Ovis aries: one gene and its partner. The protein of the gene in region 2 interacts with the protein of the main gene of each other region in a biochemical or structural test. Links are inferred from orthologs where the notes say so. Each region holds a gene or a part of one and is shown on either strand. Other genes may lie near its edges.

Evidence for each region.
Region 1: of the proteins of NEDD4L (region 2) and SGK1, one has a biochemical effect on the other in vitro, tested with the Homo sapiens proteins (5 studies listed by BioGRID). The link is inferred for Ovis aries from reciprocal best matches to the Homo sapiens genes NEDD4L and SGK1.

What each region holds. Positions count from the first base shown.
Region 1 is NC_056061.1:59,681,364-59,691,971, reverse strand, and holds the start of SGK1 (serine/threonine-protein kinase Sgk1), read left to right. Parts: upstream 1-5,731; 5' UTR 5,732-6,160; coding exon 6,161-6,229; intron 6,230-10,608. UniProt on the Homo sapiens protein: Serine/threonine-protein kinase which is involved in the regulation of a wide variety of ion channels, membrane transporters, cellular enzymes, transcription factors, neuronal excitability, cell growth, proliferation, survival, migration and apoptosis.
Region 2 is NC_056076.1:57,809,254-57,819,761, reverse strand, and holds part of NEDD4L (E3 ubiquitin-protein ligase NEDD4-like), read right to left. Parts: intron 10,052-10,508; coding exon 9,992-10,051; intron 4,553-9,991; coding exon 4,421-4,552; intron 3,910-4,420; coding exon 3,790-3,909; intron 2,743-3,789; coding exon 2,545-2,742; intron 1-2,544. UniProt on the Homo sapiens protein: E3 ubiquitin-protein ligase that mediates the polyubiquitination of lysine and cysteine residues on target proteins and is thereby implicated in the regulation of various signaling pathways including autophagy, innate immunity or DNA repair.

The DNA.
Region 1 (10,608 bases), on a different chromosome or scaffold from region 2:
TACACGTGTGTGCACACAGGAGTCTGAATTTGTATGTTCTCCAGGTTTCCACCAATGAGACTTATACAATGGCAAAGTCTTGCTGCCTGTTGAAAGCATCCTGACTCAGGAAAAAAGAGATCACTGTAATAAGGATGGTCAAGTCTAAAGGGAGTTCAAAGGAATATAGCTTTTTTAAAATAAATAAGCTTTGTAGGCTCTAAATCCCTGGTACGATTTAAGCGAAGGAACAGAAATAGATGCATAAATGTGAAATCTGGCAGAGCTGCAAATTCACTGTTTATGTTGAATGAATTATCACTAATATTCAAATGAGCAGTTACTAACAAATTGATTTGTCCCCTTGGGCTACATGTTATCACATTGTCACAAGAAAGAGCCAATTTTTTAAATACCTTCATGTCAGAAAAGGCTATGTCATAAATATGTTTGATATCTTTATTATGTGGAAACAATGAAAGAAAAAACAAAGGAAGAGAGGTCAATGTGTGTGTGGGTTCCTGTGTGGGGGAGCAGGCCCAGGTTAAAAGCAAATAACAGAGAAATGTAGGGAGGTGTCCTGAATTTTTAATCAGTTGCTACAGGGTCTCTTGAACTAAGGAACTAAATTTTGCCATTCTATCTAAAAATCTTTCAGGTAATAGAGATAAATAAAAGTCCAGTTTATTTGGTGATCTGGCTAAAACCATACCATGAAAAAAATGTCAAGTGCCTTAAATGTGAATTAAATATTATCATTAGGTAAGATTTGCTAAGACAAATACAGGTTTTTGTATTAGATTGTTCTTTTTCTTATAATGACCAGCATATACTTGACATTCAATAGATAATCAAATCAGATAACATTGAAAATATATTTGCCAATTAGATCTTTTTGCCAATTAGAAGAATATAGTTAATAAATATTATCTCTGAGAGGAAGCTGTATATCTATGAATTGCATGACTTTTTTTTCTTTTGTAAATGTAGTTAGAATGAAAACCAACTGTAAGGCTGTAGTACTTGAGCCTTACTTAGTCTCTTATCTACAAAAAGGATGCCATAGTTACTGGCATCTTTTCTGCAAAGTTCCATGAACCCATTCTGATATGGATTCTTCTTATGTACATAATTCTTTCTCTCAAAGAAAAATATCATAAACTTATATTCAAGGCTTGATTTTTCTTTTGTAACTTATCCTTTGATACATGCATGAATTAAACAAAAACTAATTTGGTGAAACCAAAGAATTCTAATTAAAAGAAAGATTCTTTCCTACATACAAAAATAAATCCATAATTCCCAGTGGGCTCTCCTAACTCCTAACTGCATATGTACCAGACTACGGCTGGAGTTTTAAGCAAAGGATCCAGTCATCTGGGTCAAATAGGAATGTAAAACATTTCTCATCATGTGGTCTATTGGTGCCTTTTTCTCCTTAGGGACGTTTGTCACTAGACAGATCTTTTGTTGTTTATCATTTTTTATGTTTTCCAGGTTGCTTTGGGGAAAAAAAAGAATTCACATTCCATTTAGCAACTAAGCGTATGACACACAAAAAATTTGATCTATGGAAGGTGAACTTTCTAAAAAGTACTACAGCAGTATACCTGTCTTACTTCAGTAAAACCAAAAATGTAGAGTTAGGTATTATTTTACAAGGCCTTTTTATTAATACATATTATTTGATACTTTTGCTGCAACATGGATGGACCTAGAAATTAACATATTAAGTAAAGAAAGTCAGAAAGAGAAAGAGAGATGTCATATGATATCAATTATATGTGAAATCTAAACAAAAAAAGATAGAAATGCACTTATACACAAAATAGAAACAGACTCACAGACATAGAAAACAAACTTATGGTTACCAAAGGAGAAAGCAGGAGAAGGATAAATTAGGAGTTTGGGATTAGAATATACACACTTTTATATATAAAATGGATAACCAACAAAGACTTACTGTATAGCACAGGGAACTATATTCATTGTCTTGCAATAGCCTATAATGGAACAGAATATGAAAAAGTACATGTGTATATATGCATAGCTGAATCACTTTGCTGTACACCGGAAACTAACATAACATTGTAAATCAACTATCTATTAATGAAATTTACTTTTTGCATTGATACTGACAACTGCCTTATGAGTTAGACAGAATGCATTTTGTTATTATTTTACAGATGAGGAAACTGAGGTTCAGTGAATTGAAGGCACTTATTCAAGGTCATACAATTAGGGGAGGGAGATTAGTAACCAGATCTTCCAAATCAACATAGCCTCGCTCCATGTCTTTTATATATTGGTAGTCAGTCCTACCTATTTGCTTTATTTTATTCTTTGTGTTATAGTCTAAACATTATACTTGAAAGGAAAGGTAAATATATTCCAAAAAGCAAATAGAGGATTAAGAGATTCTTTTCAACGTGAGAGTTTTTTTAATAAAAGAGATGTGTCATCCCAGGGTCTCAAAGTCATTGAATCTTAAAGAACTGGGAAGAACTAAGGGTCATTGGGTCTAATTAGAGCTCAGCACATTAATAATGATGGGAGTTTACTTTATGGTTTAAGAGTTTCAGAAATATTTAACAGTTCTTACTAATAGCCTGGTGACAGAGTCACTGATGTTAGCTTTACACAGTGTTTTTGTTTTTTTCAATTCATTAAAAAAGCATTCATTGAGTGCCTAGCATGGTCCAGGCACTATACTGTATGCTGAAGCTACAGAAATGAATGAGCATGTCCAATAGAAAAAAAAAAAAAAAGTAAGAAAATAAATTAATTAAGTTGAAACAAGTTTAATATGTAAGCAGGATGTTGTGAGAGTCCAGGAGTTATTTACTGTTCTACCATAAGAGGTAGTCTATGGTCCTTTGTAGATACTAATGAGCTTGGCAAAAGAGAAATTTATAAAGAGCAGTCACTCTGAGCCTACCTGCAGGCAGTTTTATTTATGAAAAGAGAAGTAATAGATGAGAGATGCTTGCTTTTCCCTGAGAAGCCAACACAGTACAGTTAAACATATTGATCTATTATTACAGTGATCAAAATATCATCTCAAATAATGGGCTACCTGATCTGGTCAGAACCCCTGCCCTTTGCTTCTCCTTCTGACCAGGGAGAAAGAGACCAACCTCTGACCAAACTCCACTTGTTCTTTAAAGTGAGCTGAACTAACTTTGAGGAAAACTTCCCAGGCCTTCCTCTCTAAACCACTCAGCCACCCCTTCAAACCAAGGTGAAGTTAACACTTGTACATATAGAATCATATACAATATATATCATTCTTATTATATAACATATAAAGGCAGAAAGAGAAGATGGCAACAGGGGATAAAATGGTTGGATGGCATCACTGATTCAATGGACATGAACTTGGGTAAACTCTGAGAGATGGTGAGGGACAGGGAGGCCTGGTGTGCTGCAGTCCATGGGGTCACAAAGTGCCAGACACGACTTGGTGACTGAAAAACAACAGTATATATTGTATATGTTATTTCTGAAATACACAATATATCATTCTTTCAATGATATGTGTTTCTTTAGTAGGCTGTGACTTCATTAGGAACATAAACTATTGATATTTGCATTCACAGGGCCTACCACAGGATATAACATAGACTCAGTGAAGTGTAGCAGCTCCAAGGGATGGCATATAGCGGTGAGGAGGGATAGGATTTAGCTTTATCCTCACCTCCTCCTCTATGGTTTCTATTAACCTTCCCTTCTTCACTCCAAATAAATGTACAGTGCACTGAAAACCGGTATGTGTGCTATATCAGTGTGGAATCAAGGCAAAGTCCCTAGTTCCCACTTTCAATAGGATGCTTAGAGAGGCCTTCTTTTGCATATTATTCAAATTCAATTACTATCTCTTAAAATACTTTTAAGGAAGGGGCAGTATGAGAAACAGGAAAGAATTTGAATGGCCATGATTTATTTTAATCAGGTTTATTGAACTGTAATTTACATAGAGTAAAATTTTCCTCCCTCATATATAAAGTCTGATAAATTTTGACAAATGCATATAATCACATAATCCACCCCATCATCATGATAAAGGACATTTCTACCTGCCTCAATAATTCTCTTTGGGGAGTTCCCTGGTTGCTTAGCGGTTAGGATTTTGTGCTTTCACTGCCATGGCCTGGGTTTAGTCCCTGGTGGGGGAACTGAGGTCCTACAAACCGCCGAATGGGGACAAAAAACATTCTCTTCAAACTACCAGAGTTTTAATGAACTCTTTAGAAGAACCCCAAAAGCTATCATTGCTGGAGTTTAAATAACATACTCCTTGCATCTCGGACAACTTAACATATCTCTCCAAAATAAAGCATTTATTTTTCTTCAGTTATAATACCATCATGTGGTTGTGCTACATTTTCTTTTGGAAATCTCAAGGCATTTAGCTAACAAGATTTCATTGTTATTTCCCACCAAACCTGGTCCAGCTCTAAAGATGTATATTCCAATTCAATGAAATCAGTGCATCTCTTTCCCAGTTAACCTTGCCGCAGACTGTCTTATAAATATGTTAACAATGTTAGGCATATCGCTTTTAATGAGCTGGCCATTCATTTTATCAAGTGGACATTGTGCCTTTCCCTCATTTATTAACTATATTCCTTTGTGGTGACATTGCAAAGGCTCTACATCCTGGGGACACTTGCTCCGTTTGGGCATATAGATACATGGAATGACACAGCACACAAGTGAATGACTAAGTCCATAAACGAGTGAATGAAAGAGTGAGTAACTGTCTCCATTTCATGGATGAGGCACCTTCTGAGAGGCACCGTGAGGTCAGTCGACTGGCAGAAAGCCACACACTGATGTCGTAGCAGTGCCCAATTGGATGCCAAGATTGTTTTCTTTGCTGTCTCTATTTAGCTATCAACTTTGTTAAAAATCCCCATAAAATATCGACAGGAAAAAGTAAACATGGAAAAATTGGCCACACACAAACTACATGGCTCTTCAAAACGAATTTAATGTGCAAAGAATAACATGAGTAAAAAAATGAGGAAGGTTGGATTTTCACTTGATGGGGAAAAAAACGCTTTCCCCTCTTATTCATTTTGAGTCATCCTTTCTGCTAAATGGATTCAGCGACACTTTTTGGTAATGCCCTTTGTATTTTTTGCATAAGACACTTTGGATATATGCCCATTGTGTTCTTTTTTAAAACAGACTCCTTTAGTGGAAAATACACACACACACACAAATGTTCACAGTTGCCTATTATATTATGACAAGTAGGAAGAGGACACTAGCAAGGTTCTACATAATGAGAGATCATCCATTGTTACACTTTATTTGTCTCCACATTTGGACAGATCGGGAATAAATTTGATTAAATTTCCATTGAGAACCGTCCCCACCCCGCCCCCAGGAACATGTACCAACAGAATTTCAATGAGCACAAAATTAAAACATTCTGCATGTTATAAGAAAATCTGATTTAAAGGATCCTAACAACAAAAAGAAAAGGGAAAAAAGCTATTAAAGTAAACCTCCCGAAGGGAGTCAACTGCTTTTCAGTGCATCCCGCGCTGATGCCGACTCTCCATCCGCGCTGCTCGATATTCATGAACCGCTGTGTCTTCCAGCACTGCTTTCCCTCTCGCTCTGCTTTTCTGGAGCGGCTCTCCCTCCCCCCCCCCCCCCCCCCCCCCCCTTTCCTCTGGCTTCTGCTCTTTCTTACTCCTTCTCTCAGCTGCTTAACTACAGCTCCCACTGGAACTTGCACAATCAAAAACAGCTCTCCTCTCCGGCAGCCTCCACAAGCGCATCACCTGGAGCAGAGCGACTCTCCCAGTGCACACGCCGCAGAGCAGCCAGGTAGCTGGGGGCGCGCAGGGGGTGCCCTTCTCCTGCGGGGCAGCAGCCAGAGCCTCTCCTCGGAATCCGGGGCATCCTGGGGTCCTGTTGCGGTGATGCCTGCCTTTCGGAGCAGTGATGGAAAGAGAAGAGCCGCTGTCGGTGGAAACTGAGAGCGGAGAGAGGTTGCGGCAGCAGCCGGTGCTGCAGAATGTGTGAGTGAAAACCTAAGCCGCGCTGCATTCTCCATCCCGCTCGGTCTTCGTCAGCTAGTCCAGGAGGCAAGTCGGGAACCAGATGCATTGACCAGGTGGGGGCCACCCTGGATCTGTTAACCGTGAACTCCCCACTGTGGAAAATGGTAAACAAAGACATGAATGGATTCCCAGTCAAGAAATGCTCAGCCTTCCAATTTTTTAAGAAACGGGTAAGGACGGGTTTTGTTTGCTTCTTTTGTTTTCTGCTCTTGTCTGAAATGCCTTTGATTGCTTGCCGGAGGTAAGCCCGAGTTTCGGTGGCAAAGCCCCGAATGGAAGTCATGTGTGTCTGGTCGCAGTGGTCCAGCTGGGAAATAGACCTGTCTTGATGCAGATTTGAGGGTGAGGGCACCTAGGCAGAGTTGCTTTGGGAGGAGGGGGTTGGGCTGAGATGTCCTAAGGATGGTTTAGAGCTGGGAATGGGAATTTCCCAACCAAAGCCACAAGATTACAAACAGTTTCAAAGAGAATTAGCCTGGGTACAGTTATTGGCTAGTTAATTTGGTTGGGGACTAATTCCGTGGTGCGCTCTTGCTCTCTCTTATCTTTGAAGGCTTCAACTTTTCCCACACCTTTCATTCACTCAGTCTCAAGTACAGCTTTATCATCTTCCTGCCTCAGAAGCAGCAGCTTCCAGCTTCCCAGATTCATCTGGCCAATAACTTGCTGAGTCTCTATCTATGGTAAAAATAGCAAAGGACTAAAATGACCTTTCAGAGAACTGATGGAGTCCAGCATTTTAAATCCTCTATTTCAGGTTGCCTCAATTTTACTTGGTACACCGCCTTTCATGGGCAGTGTAAATTCAAGTGATAATATGGGGTTATGCTGCTGTATAATTTTATTTCTTAAATTCTTGTTCTTCTGTTCAGGACATTAATGGTACATTGCTTGTAAATGAGCAAAGAAAAGGGAGCAGGTTTTCCTTGTATTTCACAGTAAACTCAGTTCACTGTAATGGTCCCACTGATGGTCTGCGTAAATCTGCAAATTTATACATAAGTGAGAGGTAAGAAATGAATGATTTTTAAGCAACTGATGACTGACATTCTTGTGGAGCGTTTCTTAAGCAACAGCAGCTTCCTCCAGCCCCCAGCTGCGCTGGTCTATTTGATACCCCAGGGCAATTCCATCAAAATGATTCTCTTCATTCATTCTCGGTTCCTTCATTCAGGTCTTTCCTGTGCTGCTCTGGAAACACAGCCCTTCACTTAAACCACCAACAGAACACTGTGAACTACACACTGGGCTGGACTACGTCCTGCACCCAGTGGGCAAGCTGGGAAGGCAGGGCTGGGAACAGCATGTCAGTCCAGGTCAGAGGGCTAACACAGTTTCCCATACACCTGTGACTGAATTCCCATCAGTCGAGCAAGACCTTCCCTAAACTCCATGGGTCAAAACATATTCATTAAAACCAAAGCAAAACCCACGTTGTCCTGGCTTCTGCACCAGAGGCCTCAGCACTTGGCAAGGAGGTCTCCCGCTGGAGAAGACTCAGGTTGAATTGGAGCAAGGCAGTGCCACTTCTCAGAGTCCACCATGTTTCTTCATTTTTCCTGTAGCCAAGATATTTCTTTCCAAGGAAAAAGCACTTTGTAAAAAAAACAATTTCCAACACAGTAAACAAATGTTTTGATAATAAATAAAAAATGCCATAGCTGATAACTCAGTAAACTCTTTACTCTCATTTAATTAATTAATTAAATGTTACTGAGGGGACAGTGACGGTGATTTTTTTCGGTTGGTTGGCTTTTGATTTGTATTTATTTATTTATTTTAATACTTCTCAATCAGATATATTGAATCAACTGAGTAACTGTCAAGTAGATTTTAAGTTTTCTTTTATTTTCTTTGCTATCAAAATGTGCTATAATAACTGTTAATTTACTATCTAGTTTCTTTTTTGCTTAAAAGCAGAATTTAACAGTAGCCTTCAGTTGCTGCCTCTGTAGACCTTGCATTTTGCAAAGAACTAGCCAGGGTACTGATGTCTAACCTGAGTGCTTGCAGAGAGAAAGAACGTGAAACCAAGATATGTAGGAGACCTAAGAAACATGGGTTCTATCCCTCAGTCAGGAAGATCTCCTGGAGGAGATCCTGGCAACCCACTCCAGTATTCTTGCCTGGAGAATCCCATGGACAGAGGAGCCTGGTGGGCTACAGTCCATGGGGTCCCAAAGAGTCAGACACGACTGAAGCGATTTAGCATGCACACACGCATCCAGCCCCGCAGCTTCATCTGCCTTTGAATCTGGGTCTATCATTTTCTGGAGATAGTATCAGAAACCTCCCCTCTTGTTGTCCTTACTCTTCAAGGACAAAACAGCAGAATATGCCTTTGTGTCAAATCATGGAGGGCCCTAAGGGATAAAGTCTGATTCTTGTCCATACATAATCTTTTCTGAAAGTTCATTTCAGTTTGTACCATGACTTTGCTATAGGTTTTGCTTTTTTATTCCTTTCTTTGTTTGGGGTCTTTACACAGCTGATATTTAAGTAAATGTGTAAAACATTAAGATAATACCCAGGTAAATTCCTCTGCCTTTCTTATCCAGAGGTAAATGTTGACATCTATCTTTCCCAGTTCTTCTCTATGCATCTGTATGCACATTTATATACTAGAATGCCTTTGTTCTCAGCTAAGAATAATCCATTTTTCTTATATTCTATTGTTGAAGTTCCACAGATTTTTGCATATTTTATTTTTAACCTACTTAGACAGTCTTACAAAATGAACCTTTGTCCAATGCCCACATTAAACCATGAATAGATCTTGGAAAAAACCCATAGATTTTTTAGGGCTTACTAAAAACACGGAGGTTTGGACCCAAATTTTGAGGGCAGAAAGCTTAACTAGTGCTTCTTATGCCTCTGAGATATTTCACAAGAAGCCTAAGAAGGTCCCCAAAAGGGAAGGCAGAATGATCCACCCTGTGATTCATTTAGAAGAGTAAGTGTAGCACCATTTATTGAGAGCCTGCTATGTTCTAGAAGTTATGGGTCAAGTGCTTTATAGGTATTAGCTCATGAAATCCTCAGAGTCATCCTGTGAAATAAGAAAACATTAAATGTGCAAAGCACAGCTTAAGAGAGATTAAGCAACCAGCCCAATATCACTTAACTAAAAAGTAGCAGAGCCAAAATTTAAATTTTCCTTGACCCAAGGCCCATGTTCTTAATCCAGACTTTCTATTTTTGAATCACACTCCCACCCCCTTTTTTCTTCCATAACAGAATCTTTTTTCTCCCCAAGTAAAATCTTTATGCCATTATGCAATTTATAAAACCTACAAGGGGACTAGTCCTCAGCTGACTCTCGAAGCTTCTTTCCAACCCTCAGTCATGACTGAGGCAGCTCTGGGGAACCCAGCCTCAAGGAACACAATCTAAAGAAAGGCAGTCCTGGTGCTAGTTCCCCCAAATCCTTTGGATTTATGCTTGCCACCGCCATGTCTTAAAAGCTCAACTAAATCAGCTTAATTTCATTTAGTTGAGAATAGCTAAGCTAAACTCAGTAAGAATTCTACTTCCATTCTGTATGTGTTAATGATAAGTTAACATTAGATGCCTGCGGATTATTCTTTATTCTTAGAATCTCTGAAAAATTCCTTTAAGATAAATGGGAAAATGTCCTTATCAGTTTTATTGTCAAAATCTAAGAGCTTTAAAAGGTATAGGGTTTGCTAAAGATAATCCATTTTCATGGATTTAAAGATTTGTTCATGGTTCAGATTCTTGCATGGACTGTAGCCTGCCAGGCTCCTCTGTCTATAGAATTCTTCAGGTAAGAATATTGGAGTGGGTAGCCATTCCCTTCTTTAGGGAATCTTCCCAACCCAGAGATTGAACCTGGGTCTCCTGCATTGCAGGCAGATACTTCACCATCTGCACCACCAGGAAAGCCTGCGTTATGACTCAGAAAACACCAAAAATGAGATTATGTTCAACTTGATAACCCATTTTGGAAATTCCTTAGGTATGTAAATCAGTTCATTTCAGTCGCTCAGTCATGTCTGACTTCGACCCCACAGACTTCAGCAAGCCAGGATTCCTTATCCTTCACCAACTCCCAGAACTTGCTCAAACTCATGTCCATCAAGTCAGTAATGCCATCCAACCATCTCATCCTCTGTCATCCCCTTCTCCTCCTGCCTTCAATCCTTCCCAGCATCAAGGTATTTTTAAGACTTCTAAAGACAGAATCACATTATCTTTCATAACATTTCAGAGGATAACTAGGCAGGATGGAATTTTGGATTTGGAATATGCACCTTAGAAACTCTTACATTAACCTATTTTAAAGATGTAGAAACAGTGCTTGGCAGGTGAATCACTTACTCAACTAAAATGGGGCTAAGCCAGTCCTCACAGGTAGGATTTTCACTGCCAGATCAAGTGTCTTTATTATTATTATTATTATGCTCTCAAACTGGTTCAGTTCTTCAGGCCTCATTCATTCATTCTTTAAGAAATACAGTAGGGACAAAACCCAGTTCATCTTCCTAGTAATAACTGCCTTGTGACCACCAATTTTGACAAGACACTT
Region 2 (10,508 bases):
CTGACCCAGCAGCGATCGAACCCACATCTCCTGCATTGGCAAGTGGATTCTTTACCACTAGTACCAGCCTGGGGAAGCAAAAGGAAGGTTCTTCTATCAATGTATACAAAGGAGAAGCTTCTGGTTTGTGCAGGGCTCGAGAGCACACGGGGTGCAGAGGGAAGATGTCCGTTTTCATCCCTCTTGACCTGTCTGACCGGTTTTTCTTTCTTTTATGACAATGCTCAAATCTAAGAATAGCTGTTCTTTCTTTAAAAAACAAACAAACAAACAAAAACAAAGCAACCCCCAAAGTAACTCAACACAGGTTTTAAGCTGAAAGTTATCTTCTTGTTTCTCCCCATCCCTCCACCTTTTGTCAGAATAAACACGTGTTCAGAGCATGTGCTCTGCAGCCAGCGCTGCGGATGGGCCTTTGTTTAGCAGGGATAACGCAGCTGTGTCAGGGCCTCCACGCTGAGCGGGGAAGGGTGTTGACGGCTGGTGGAACTCTTTGTTGCTCCCTTCAGGATTTTCATGACAGCACCCGTGACAAAACATTGTTTTAACAAATTGAAATTTGAAAATCAGTGAGTCACGAGTATCTGGTCGAAAGGGGCAATGGGAAATAAAAAACTGGGTTTCATTCAGCAACAATGCAGGCAATAAATAAAGCGGGTGCTATTTAAAAGAAAACCTGCCCAGCTGCGATTACACTGCAGTTGTGGCGTGAAAGGCTGTGAAAAGGTTAGGGGATTTGATTACTAAGCTAGTTCAAATTACTAAAATCATAGCTTATGTTGGCAAGCCACAGTGGCTCCATATACTAATCCATCTACTTTCACAATATTTACCCCCTACTTCTGGAGCTCCCATTTCTGGCTGAGGAACTGAAATCCCAGCAATGCTGTAGCAAGTAGAAATGGCTTCAGTAGTAGGACTGCTACAGGTTCTACATCCCTGAGGGGGGTTAAAAAAAGACTTTGAAACCAACCTCTGTCACTCTGTTTTCCAAGGAGCTTCCTATCTATTACTCTCTTGTTGCCACAAACCCGTAATATTATCTTCAGATGAAACTGTTACTTATTATACGTCTGAGAAGTAGTGATGAGTTTACCAAATGAATGCTACCAGATCTGAATTTTAAATTCTCTCTGCAGGTTATACCTTTACTTCAAAATTGGAGTGGTTCTCACTAAGGGGTGTTGGGAAATGCCTGGGGGCTCCCGAGCTTTTCAGTGTGCTGGGATCCGGCGGCAGGGGCCGAGGATGGCGAATGCCCCGCAGCAACAAGCACAGCCCTGCCCCGAGTGCTAAGAATGTCCTCGTGAAGACACACTGCACTGTGATCCGTGAGATCTGAGAGAGCCTAATCCAGTTCTCAAGGGACTGAATTACCATCGTGCCATGGGCAGAGTGTAAATGACAGTCCAGGTCACTTGGGTCCAGGTCTCTTCCTTCACATGATACTGCTGTTCTAGCAACTGGGTATATTTGGTGTCTTCACTAGAAGTGGGAATTTAAAGCATGTGTTGACTCTTGGTCCAAGACCAAAGAGCCAGGGCCAGTGACAATCACCAAAACTCAACCGGATTTCATGTAATCATCGGTTCTAAACAGCAGTGCAGCACATAAAAAGAATGGAGCCCAACTCCATACCTGGGTAGTCAGCTGGGGATATAAGGGGCAGGAAGGAAAACAAACCTTCGGGAACATCAGAAACAGTCGGAAACCTGAGGACCCACTTCAGGTTAACTATTGGCCTAGAGATGAAACAGCAGAAAAACAGCACTGACTTTAAAAAGAACTCTATGCTACCTCCAATGAGCCGCCGCTGACTGCCCTGAACGAAGGAAGAGCGAACAGGGGAATGTAAAGATACGCACACGTCCTTTTCATTAATCTCATTTTTCTCAAAGTTAACACAGCATACATACTCTCTCCCCCTCGTGCGTGATTCAGGGGTACGAGGACGAGTACTGTTATTAAGGAAAAAACCCTGCGACAAGATGATCACAAAAAAGAGGTATCAAATTTACAAATTTAATCTCCTAACCCACGATTAAAGAGTGTGATGTAGCACTGGAGTGTAAAATACATATCTGATGCCAACTGTAAACACCAAAAGGACGCATCAAATCAAAATAAAGATGGGTAATGGCAACACAAATGCAAAAAAAAGAAGTGACACAGAGAAATTCTTTGTAAAAAGACTGGAATTCCTAATAAAGTCACAGCAGCCTAAGACAGGAAGCGGCAATACCAAAATTCCAGCAATATGGAGCACTACCTTTTCTTCCAAAATACGGTAAACTGTCAACACTGGAGCTTCCCATGAGTGCTCTGAGGAAAAGGCATCAATACCCAGGGTGGCTGTGAGTCCGTGCCAGTAAATCACCCACTCCCACCAGCCCCTATGTGCAGAGTCGAGGCGAAGGCTCAGGAGACCCTCAGCGGATATACTATAGTGTCAGGAAATTTCTCAGCAAGCACCATGGATACTGAGTCAGGGACAGATGCCAGGCCTCGGGGTGAAAGTGGAGCCAAACAAAGCAGCGGCCTTACCCATGTCGTGGTCTTTGTGTTGTGGTCAATGAAGAAGGGCCGGCCGTTGGGCGCTATCCTCATCTCCCAGCCGGGCGGCAAGAAGCTCTGTGTGACTTTGTGTTGTGGTTTGGGGGAGTTGTAAGGTGATGGCTGTGGGGACTGTGGGTTGGAAAGGGTATCTTTCACAGCCCGACGTACGGGTGAGTCCTTGGCGCCCTAAGGAATAATAATGAGCATTAGAACTCTCGACACGTGCTGGTTCAGAGTGGTCAACACGTCCCCGGGGGTCAGGGACCACTCCTCTCTCTGAAATGGGACCATGGGGAAACGCCTAAAAGAAACCTGCTTCTGTCATCTGCTTACTTTAAAAAACAATCTAACTGTGATGTTTCCCTATTGGTTCAATACACAACAATATTAAGTAAGTATAACCACCCTCCCTTGATAGCTGCTCAGTACACAACCCCAAATATTTTCTGGTAGTAACCATTATGGATGGGGATTTTACAGAAGGTGGAGAAAAACGTGGCCCTGCTCTTAATGAGCTCACAGTCTAATGGAGACGGACTGGCAATTTCTGGAGCAGAAAAAGAAAAAGCTCTATCAATGGAGACAGGCACCTGGGACGGCACAATTGTTAACCAGGACACCCACATCCCAGCCTGGAGGAGGCATGTCCCCTTGCCACTCCTCAACCTCCTAAACCCGGGCACAGAGCAGCCCGCAGCCGTCTTTAAGATGCCCGTCACGTTTACAGCATCAAAGGTTTAGCCTCCGGCCTTTGTGATATTAAGGGATGTTGCTAAGACCACAGAAACGGGAGGGCGCAAAGCGGATGCCCAGCGGTGACTCAGAGATGCAGACACGCGTCAGAAACACGAGGCCCACACGATGGAAGACCCTACAGTAGGGAGGGAGGAAGAATGACCGAAGCGACAGCTGTGTGTAAAAACTCAGCGGAAGCACTGGGATTGGAAAGAGCTGCTATGCGCGTCTCATGAGGCAGTAAGGAGTGAAACACAAGAATGGAGCGAGTTCGGAAGAGAGGCGCCCACGTCCAGCAGGGGCTCGCCGCGGCCGCGGCCCCGTGACAGTGAGAATCAGCGAGAGTCCAGGGATGGGAAGCATGGAGCGAGGCCGCACGAGGACACCCCTCACCACGAACACAGCGACGGCCAGAGAGGGGGGCGGCGCCCTGCGCGCCCCCGGAGGAGAGAGAAGAGCGGGTGAGAAGGGGTCAGGGGAGCCGGGCAGCCGTCTCACCTCCAGCGGGGCGGATAAAGTTACTGTTGGCGAGCTGAGGCTACGAGGCCGGCGGATCTGAGGCTCGATTAGGTGGTTGTTACTGTTTGTGGCGGATCCGGATGCGCCGTCTTCTGCGAGCTACGTTGGAGGCAAACACAAGTTAGCGGCGTGCGAGGCGCTCCCTGCGCGGTGCGGACCCAGTGACAGCGCGGCCAGCGGCCACGAGAGGCCTGTGGGAAGCCTGCAGGAGCCGACCCCACGCAACATCGGGGGCGGGGGCGAGGGATGGGGGAACACGCTCCGGGGAAGTAAACACTGAATCACGAGCCAGCAGAAAAGCCAGCCTCAGAGAAAACCTGGGCTGGAGGGGCGCTACCCGCTGGGATCAACAGGCTCTTCCTTTGAAAATCTCTTTCGGGTCATATATATTTATATATTTTTTAATAAAATGGACCCTCTAGGGAGAGACTGAGCCAGGGACTGAATTCTTTCTTAGGAAAATCTTATGTTTAAAGTAATGCATTTGCAAGAAAAGATCTTCTTTTGACATGGGTTCCTCAGAACGGTACCTAAAACTCGGGAACGCAGGGGTCGTGGACGTTTTGGCTTCTGAGTGCCTGTGACCGAAGCTGCAGGGCAAACCGCATACCTGCACGATAGGCCGAGTCCAAGTTGTGGTTCGATTGTTATGATTGACATAGTATGTGCGTCCCTTAGCATCTTTCCTCTCTTCCCAGCCCGAGGGCAGGCCCGGCGTGGTGTGTACATAGGCCACTGATGGCTGTTTGTGTAAGAAATCATCATTACTGAGTATCCTGCATTTGCTTTTCGATCAGCTTCATAAAGTCATACATACCCCGAGGATTAGCTCTGCTAGACAAAGTGAGTTAATTCTAGTGGTACTGGAAACACGACTGTCCAGAAAACAGCAACAGGTTTCCAACAGCTTTAAACCTAGTGTGAAATGAACCCCCACCCAAGCTAAAGGGTCAAAACCTCACAGGACTCAGTTCTAGGCCACGCAGCCTCCAACGTAGAGGGCTGCTGCCAATGTGATCATAAGGAAGGAGAAGACGATGCCAGTTTGGTTTGGTTACCAAATTTTACTTCAAGCCACATAGAGCTCAAAAGATGTTTCAAACTGTCAAACGTTATTGTCTCTGAGAGGGATGCTCTAAGTATCTCTTCCTCAATCTAGCTGCCACAGGAATGTTCTCCTAGCTTATCCCTAAATTCTTCAACACCTTAGGGCCCTTATACTATGTAAATTTCAGGGTCGGGGAGTGGGTGAGACACAGAATCTGTTTTTTATGAGATCCCCCTTTACACTAGTGACCGACCAGAACATCTCAGCTGCCCCAGCCCAGGAGGAGGCAGGCCAGAACTCCCAAGGAACCTGACTGCTGAGGCTATATTTCCCCCATCTTCCCATGTGGGATTTGTCTCTTTACAGGGTGAATGGAAGGCAGGCAGCTTCCGGGCTGAGAATGTCCAGCACGGAGGGACTAGATTTGGATGCGCCAAAGGAAATCGCTAAAGCAGTCCTGTGATCTTTCGGCTTGTAAGAAGCAGTCTGAGAAATGCAGGTGGGTTGGAGAAATACTGGGAAAGCAGGATGTCTCCATGACTCATGGAGGCCAAGAGAAGGATGTTTGAGGTCGGTGCTGCCCAGGAAGTCCTGCAGGTACGGATGCTGCATACAAGACCTGCAACTGGGGTAGGGGTGCTGCTCAAGAACAAGAAGCCTTGGCAGATATGGCTCTTGACAAGAGTGTAAAAGAAACAAGAGGCCTAAATTCAGGAGTAATCTCTTACGTGTGGTTACAGAAGGGAGCCACTTCCTTTAGGGCCCATCTTCCCTAATTAGGATCTTCTGAACCTCCAGATGTTTCACCAGGTATATTTTCTTTTTGTTTAAAATTTACTTTTTTAATTGAAGGATAATTGCTTTGCAGAATTCCGTTGGTTTCTGCCAAACACCAACATGAATCAGCCACGGGCATACATATGGTGTATTTTCTTGATGAGGTTGATGTTAACCTCTCAGCCGGGCTTCTCCCCATGTCCATCCCATCTTTCGTGTTCACTACCAACAGTGCCTCCTGGCAAAGAGGGTCCCCCAGTCCACTGCGAGACCTCGAACTGAAAAGCATGATCAGGGAGGCTGCTGTGGAATCTGGGGACCGCAGGCAATGAGGCTTAATATCCTACTTCATGAGTTCAACAGCACACTCCAAAAAAACCACGAGAAACTGAGACCATGAAGTGACTGCCTTCATACTTATTTCTAAAACACATTAACCCAGCAGGGCAAGCGCATCTGCACAACTTTGTGCTAAAACCTCAGCAACTATTTCTTGATGTTATTCCAGATAAAGTCCCCAAGGCCCCATAACGGTAATTTCAAGACTCTGACAATGTAGCATCCTGAACTGAGGTGCAGGGATACAACAAGAGTGGAAGAAACACCAGCACACAGGCTTGATCCTTCTGTATTAAAGACAGATGAACCTGTCTATGGCTGAAAGCTCTTTCTGCCCTCCTCCTCTTGCTGTGGCACCAACATAAAAGAGCTATTTCCAGGCTACTTTTTATCTGGACGCTATGGCAATGGACTCTGCTGACCTAAAGTGGAACCCGAGTTGCAACCTAAAAGTTAGTGGCCAATTAGTATTTTTGGCTAAATACATGCTATCAAGCCTTGACCTACTGTTGTTTACATGAGGAACAAATGTGTTTTGGCTGAATGGAATACCAATGGAATTTGCTGCTTTCCTCCTCTTCAAGTTATTTTTTGGGGGAGAGGCAATTAGATAAGCCTTCACAAAACTCCATTCTGGAAACCTTAAGGATAGTTTTACAGTTATGGTATCCCTGGAAAGGACGTTTATGGGGAGGCTAATAAACAAAAATAACTGGGATGTGTCATGGATAATCTCAGGACTGAGGTCTAAAGCTGGGAGACTTCCAGCAGAGTCGTCCAGCAACCAGATTACTTTCATAGAGCCACAGTTAATAGGACTAATCAGTTTATGGAAAACTAGGAGTGTCCTAGCGGATAAGGCGATGGCACCCCACTCCAGTACTCTTGCCTGGAAAATCCCATGGACGGAGGAGCCTGGTAGGCTGCAGCCCATGGGGTTGCTAAGAGTCGGACACGACTGAGCAACTTCACTTTCACTTTTCACTTTCATGCATTAGAGAAGGAAATGGCAACCCACTCCAGTGTTCTTGCCTAGAGAATCCCGGGGACGGGGGAGCCTGGTGGGCTGCCGTCTATGGGGTCGCACAGAGTCGGACATGACTGAAGCGACTTAGCAGCAGCAGCAGGAGTGTCGTATAGAACATGGCATTTGAGTCAAATGTGCATCCTACCTTCTATGGAGAAATGACTTGGCAACGTATAATCTAGTTCCACTGATGCAAGATGGTGTTATTAAAACGGTTCTTTACAGGTTTCTTTCCAAATGACCCTGAAGAACTACCTGTGCGGACAACTCCATCTGTGACTCAAAACAACGCATCCCGCAGCTGGGGAGGAGCGGGGCTCAGTGTCCATGAAGAGACTGTGGCAGTGTTAGCCTGGAGCCAATGTCAGACTCTCCTGCAGTATATGTGCACATACGTGTGTACACTGTGGTGTGTGTGCATGTGTGTGGGTACGTGTGCATGTATGTGTGTGTGCACGTGTGCGTGCATTTGTGTGTGTGCGCGTGGGCAGGTGTCTGTACTGCTCCTGCACACGTGCATCCCATGCCACCTCAAGAAACAGTTAACGGGGAGCCAACTGAAACACAGCTGGTCAGCTGAAGCCAGAAGTTCACAGCTCTCCGTCTGCATCTACTGTTGTCTTTCACAATGTCAAGGAGCCATTTGACCACAGCTTCTGGGTAGCTCCATTGAGTTCATTAAAATGAAGCGCTCAATAATGCTGAAGCTGTAAAAGTTTCAAAACGCTTTTATTTTTTTTATTTTTTCAAAACGCTTTTAAAGATGATAAACAGCTTGGCGCTATCACATATCTTCAAGATTTGCTCAAACCCTGCCACACTCTAACCTCAGTGGAATATTAAGGGGATAGACAGCAACCCCCCCAAACTGTGCTATCCCTTTTCATTTCCTCTCATAGAGTGGACTCTGGCTTAGCCAGCTAGACAGTGACACCACTGTGTATTCACTTGTCACGTGTCAGAGCTGTGGGTCCGCAGGTGAGAACTGGGGCGTGCTGATCGTAACAGAGACGTGAAAGCCCTGCACGGAGAGAGAGCAACACCAGGACGGGTGAGGCCGCGGGACAAGCAGCTGCCAAGGGGAGGCAGCCGAGGGCTCATCTTTTCGGGAAACACGGGACTCTGGTGCATTCACATCCCAGCATCTCAATGTAACCAGTATTATGTAATAACCAGTATGTCCCAGGGAAATGACCCAAGTGAGTATCAAGTCGATTAAGTAATATGTATACGAGCTCTCCATTTTCTCTGTGTGTGTGCGTGCACGTGTTATGTGCGTGTACCCACAGGTACATCTGTGAGAGCACAGAGGAAGAAGGGGTGGGGAGTCCCAGGGTTGCTCTAGGCTGACAGGGCACACTTGGGTGTTGGGGTGGACAGGGAGAAGGTATAATAGAGGGGAAAATCCATGGAGGAGACGGAATTGGAAAAGCAAAGGCTATTGGTGACAAGGGCTGGTGAGGGTAGGGAAAAAAAACCCAGATGTGACTGTTTCTCATGTAGTCATAAAGGAGGTTGGCTTACTCGAGCCAAAAGATCACCAGGTATGCAGAAAGCATGAGAGTAGATAAAACATTTAGGAAATATTACTATCCGCTCTTTAAAGATAAGAAACAAAAACCAAACTGCTATTTTTAGCTCACTGCTGGGGGAAGGGGGAGGGCACAGGCAAGAAGCGTCGCCTGGTGGCAGGGCTGCGTGGACCCTGCTGGGTGGGTCACCCTGCCCTGCCAGGTGCCTGGCTCGGGACGATCCTAGCTCAGTCCATCCTGTCACTGGACACCATCAGCTATCAGGACACTCACAGCAGGTCCCGAGGCCAATGCAGTGCATGACGGGGTAGAAGCTCACTGGCCCCGCTTCCTGTTAAAGCCATTTCATGAAGTGATCTCATCCACCTCGCAGCTCTATCCCCGTGGAAACGACAAGTGCACAATAGGAAGCTCACTAGGTCATCTGGAATTTCTTCAGTTCTCCGGGAGGGTGAGCCTGGCCCACCCAACAGGCGCCCTTCACATCAATCACTGCGGCTCGATGCCTTAAACTGGCCTGATTTTTGCTGACTGCCACTTCGATTTTCCAGGGTACCATGCTGAGCTGTCAATTCTAACAATGTAACTAGACTGCTCCTTTAAATCAGTACCCTGCAGAAAATCAGCAATCGTGTATGTATTTACAGGTGTTCTCAAATAATAGCAGCGATAACAAACATACAAAGGTAAAACAACAACGAAAACTCTTCAGACAGCCATAGCAGCACCAAGCTAACCATAAGCTAGCCTGTGTTTAGGGATCAAGGAGAAGACTGGCGAAGCACACAGTCATGCGTTGCCCACAAGCATGAACAGCAGGAATTGCTTACAACGAAGAGTACACTTGGCTTACAAACACCATTTTTTCCTAGATCCTTTCAATTTCTTAATTATACTTTCTCTCTCCTCCTGAATTATATTCATATGTTCTCCTCCTGAACATCCATTGCTCATACCTTTGAACCTGTGAGTTGGGGGGCCTGGCAACAGAGAAAGGTCACTGGTTCCTGCTTGTGATACAGAACATCTGAGTCAGCCTTTGAAATGCGGCAGTGGGAATGCATCACTGAAATTCACATGTACAAGTGTGTGCAATTTCTGGGGCTTCCTTGATTCTCCTCCAACCAAAATATTTTATCCATGTCTTCTAAACACATGGAGGAAACTTATCAGGAGAACAAACACTGAAAGGCAGAAATAAACTCTAAAAGGTTCAGATTAAAACTTAAAGCTTGACAGCTCTTAGAACTACATGGGACTAAAAATTGTTTTGTTTTACCCAGTACTTTCAAGGAGTGTGAAAGTAAGGTTTTATTAAAATAAGAAATGTGCAGCTCTGTGGCACATCAGAAGCTGCTCTTCTCAAAACAAAGAGAAAAAACTGTATATTCACCATTACCCAAATATTAAAACAGACCCACAGTTTTGCCAAGAATGTCTGAACAAGGGTGTCATTACCGTTGGCGCCTCACCACCAGTGACAGTTGATGAACGTGCTCTCCCAGCTGGGGCACTGGGCTGTTAAATGATAATTTACATCAGTGAAATGCATTCTGGGAGGTCACCCACTGCTTACTGAATCAGGGATCAGAGCTGGTGCAGCTAGCAAGGCAGGTGACATGAATCAGAATCTCTGCAATCCACCCGGGCCAAACAAAGTGGAGCAACCACTGATGATCAGAAGGAAAAGAGGAACAGGATCACCCGCCCACCCAGAGAAGGCTCAGGGTGCAGCTGTGATCTGGGTTAACAATGAACTGACAACCTCAACAATGTGAGATGTCTTATGAAAAAATAAAGAAAGCACCACAATCATGCCCCCACTGTTAAACAATTAGCAGATTCTTAAATCTGCCAAACTCAAAATTAAAGAGGCCTCTGGTGATCAGTGAGTTCACAGTTTCGTAGAGTGCAAAGAAAGAGGGAAGAATCAATGGCTCTTTGGGCCAATACAACTGACAGTGATTTTTGAAAA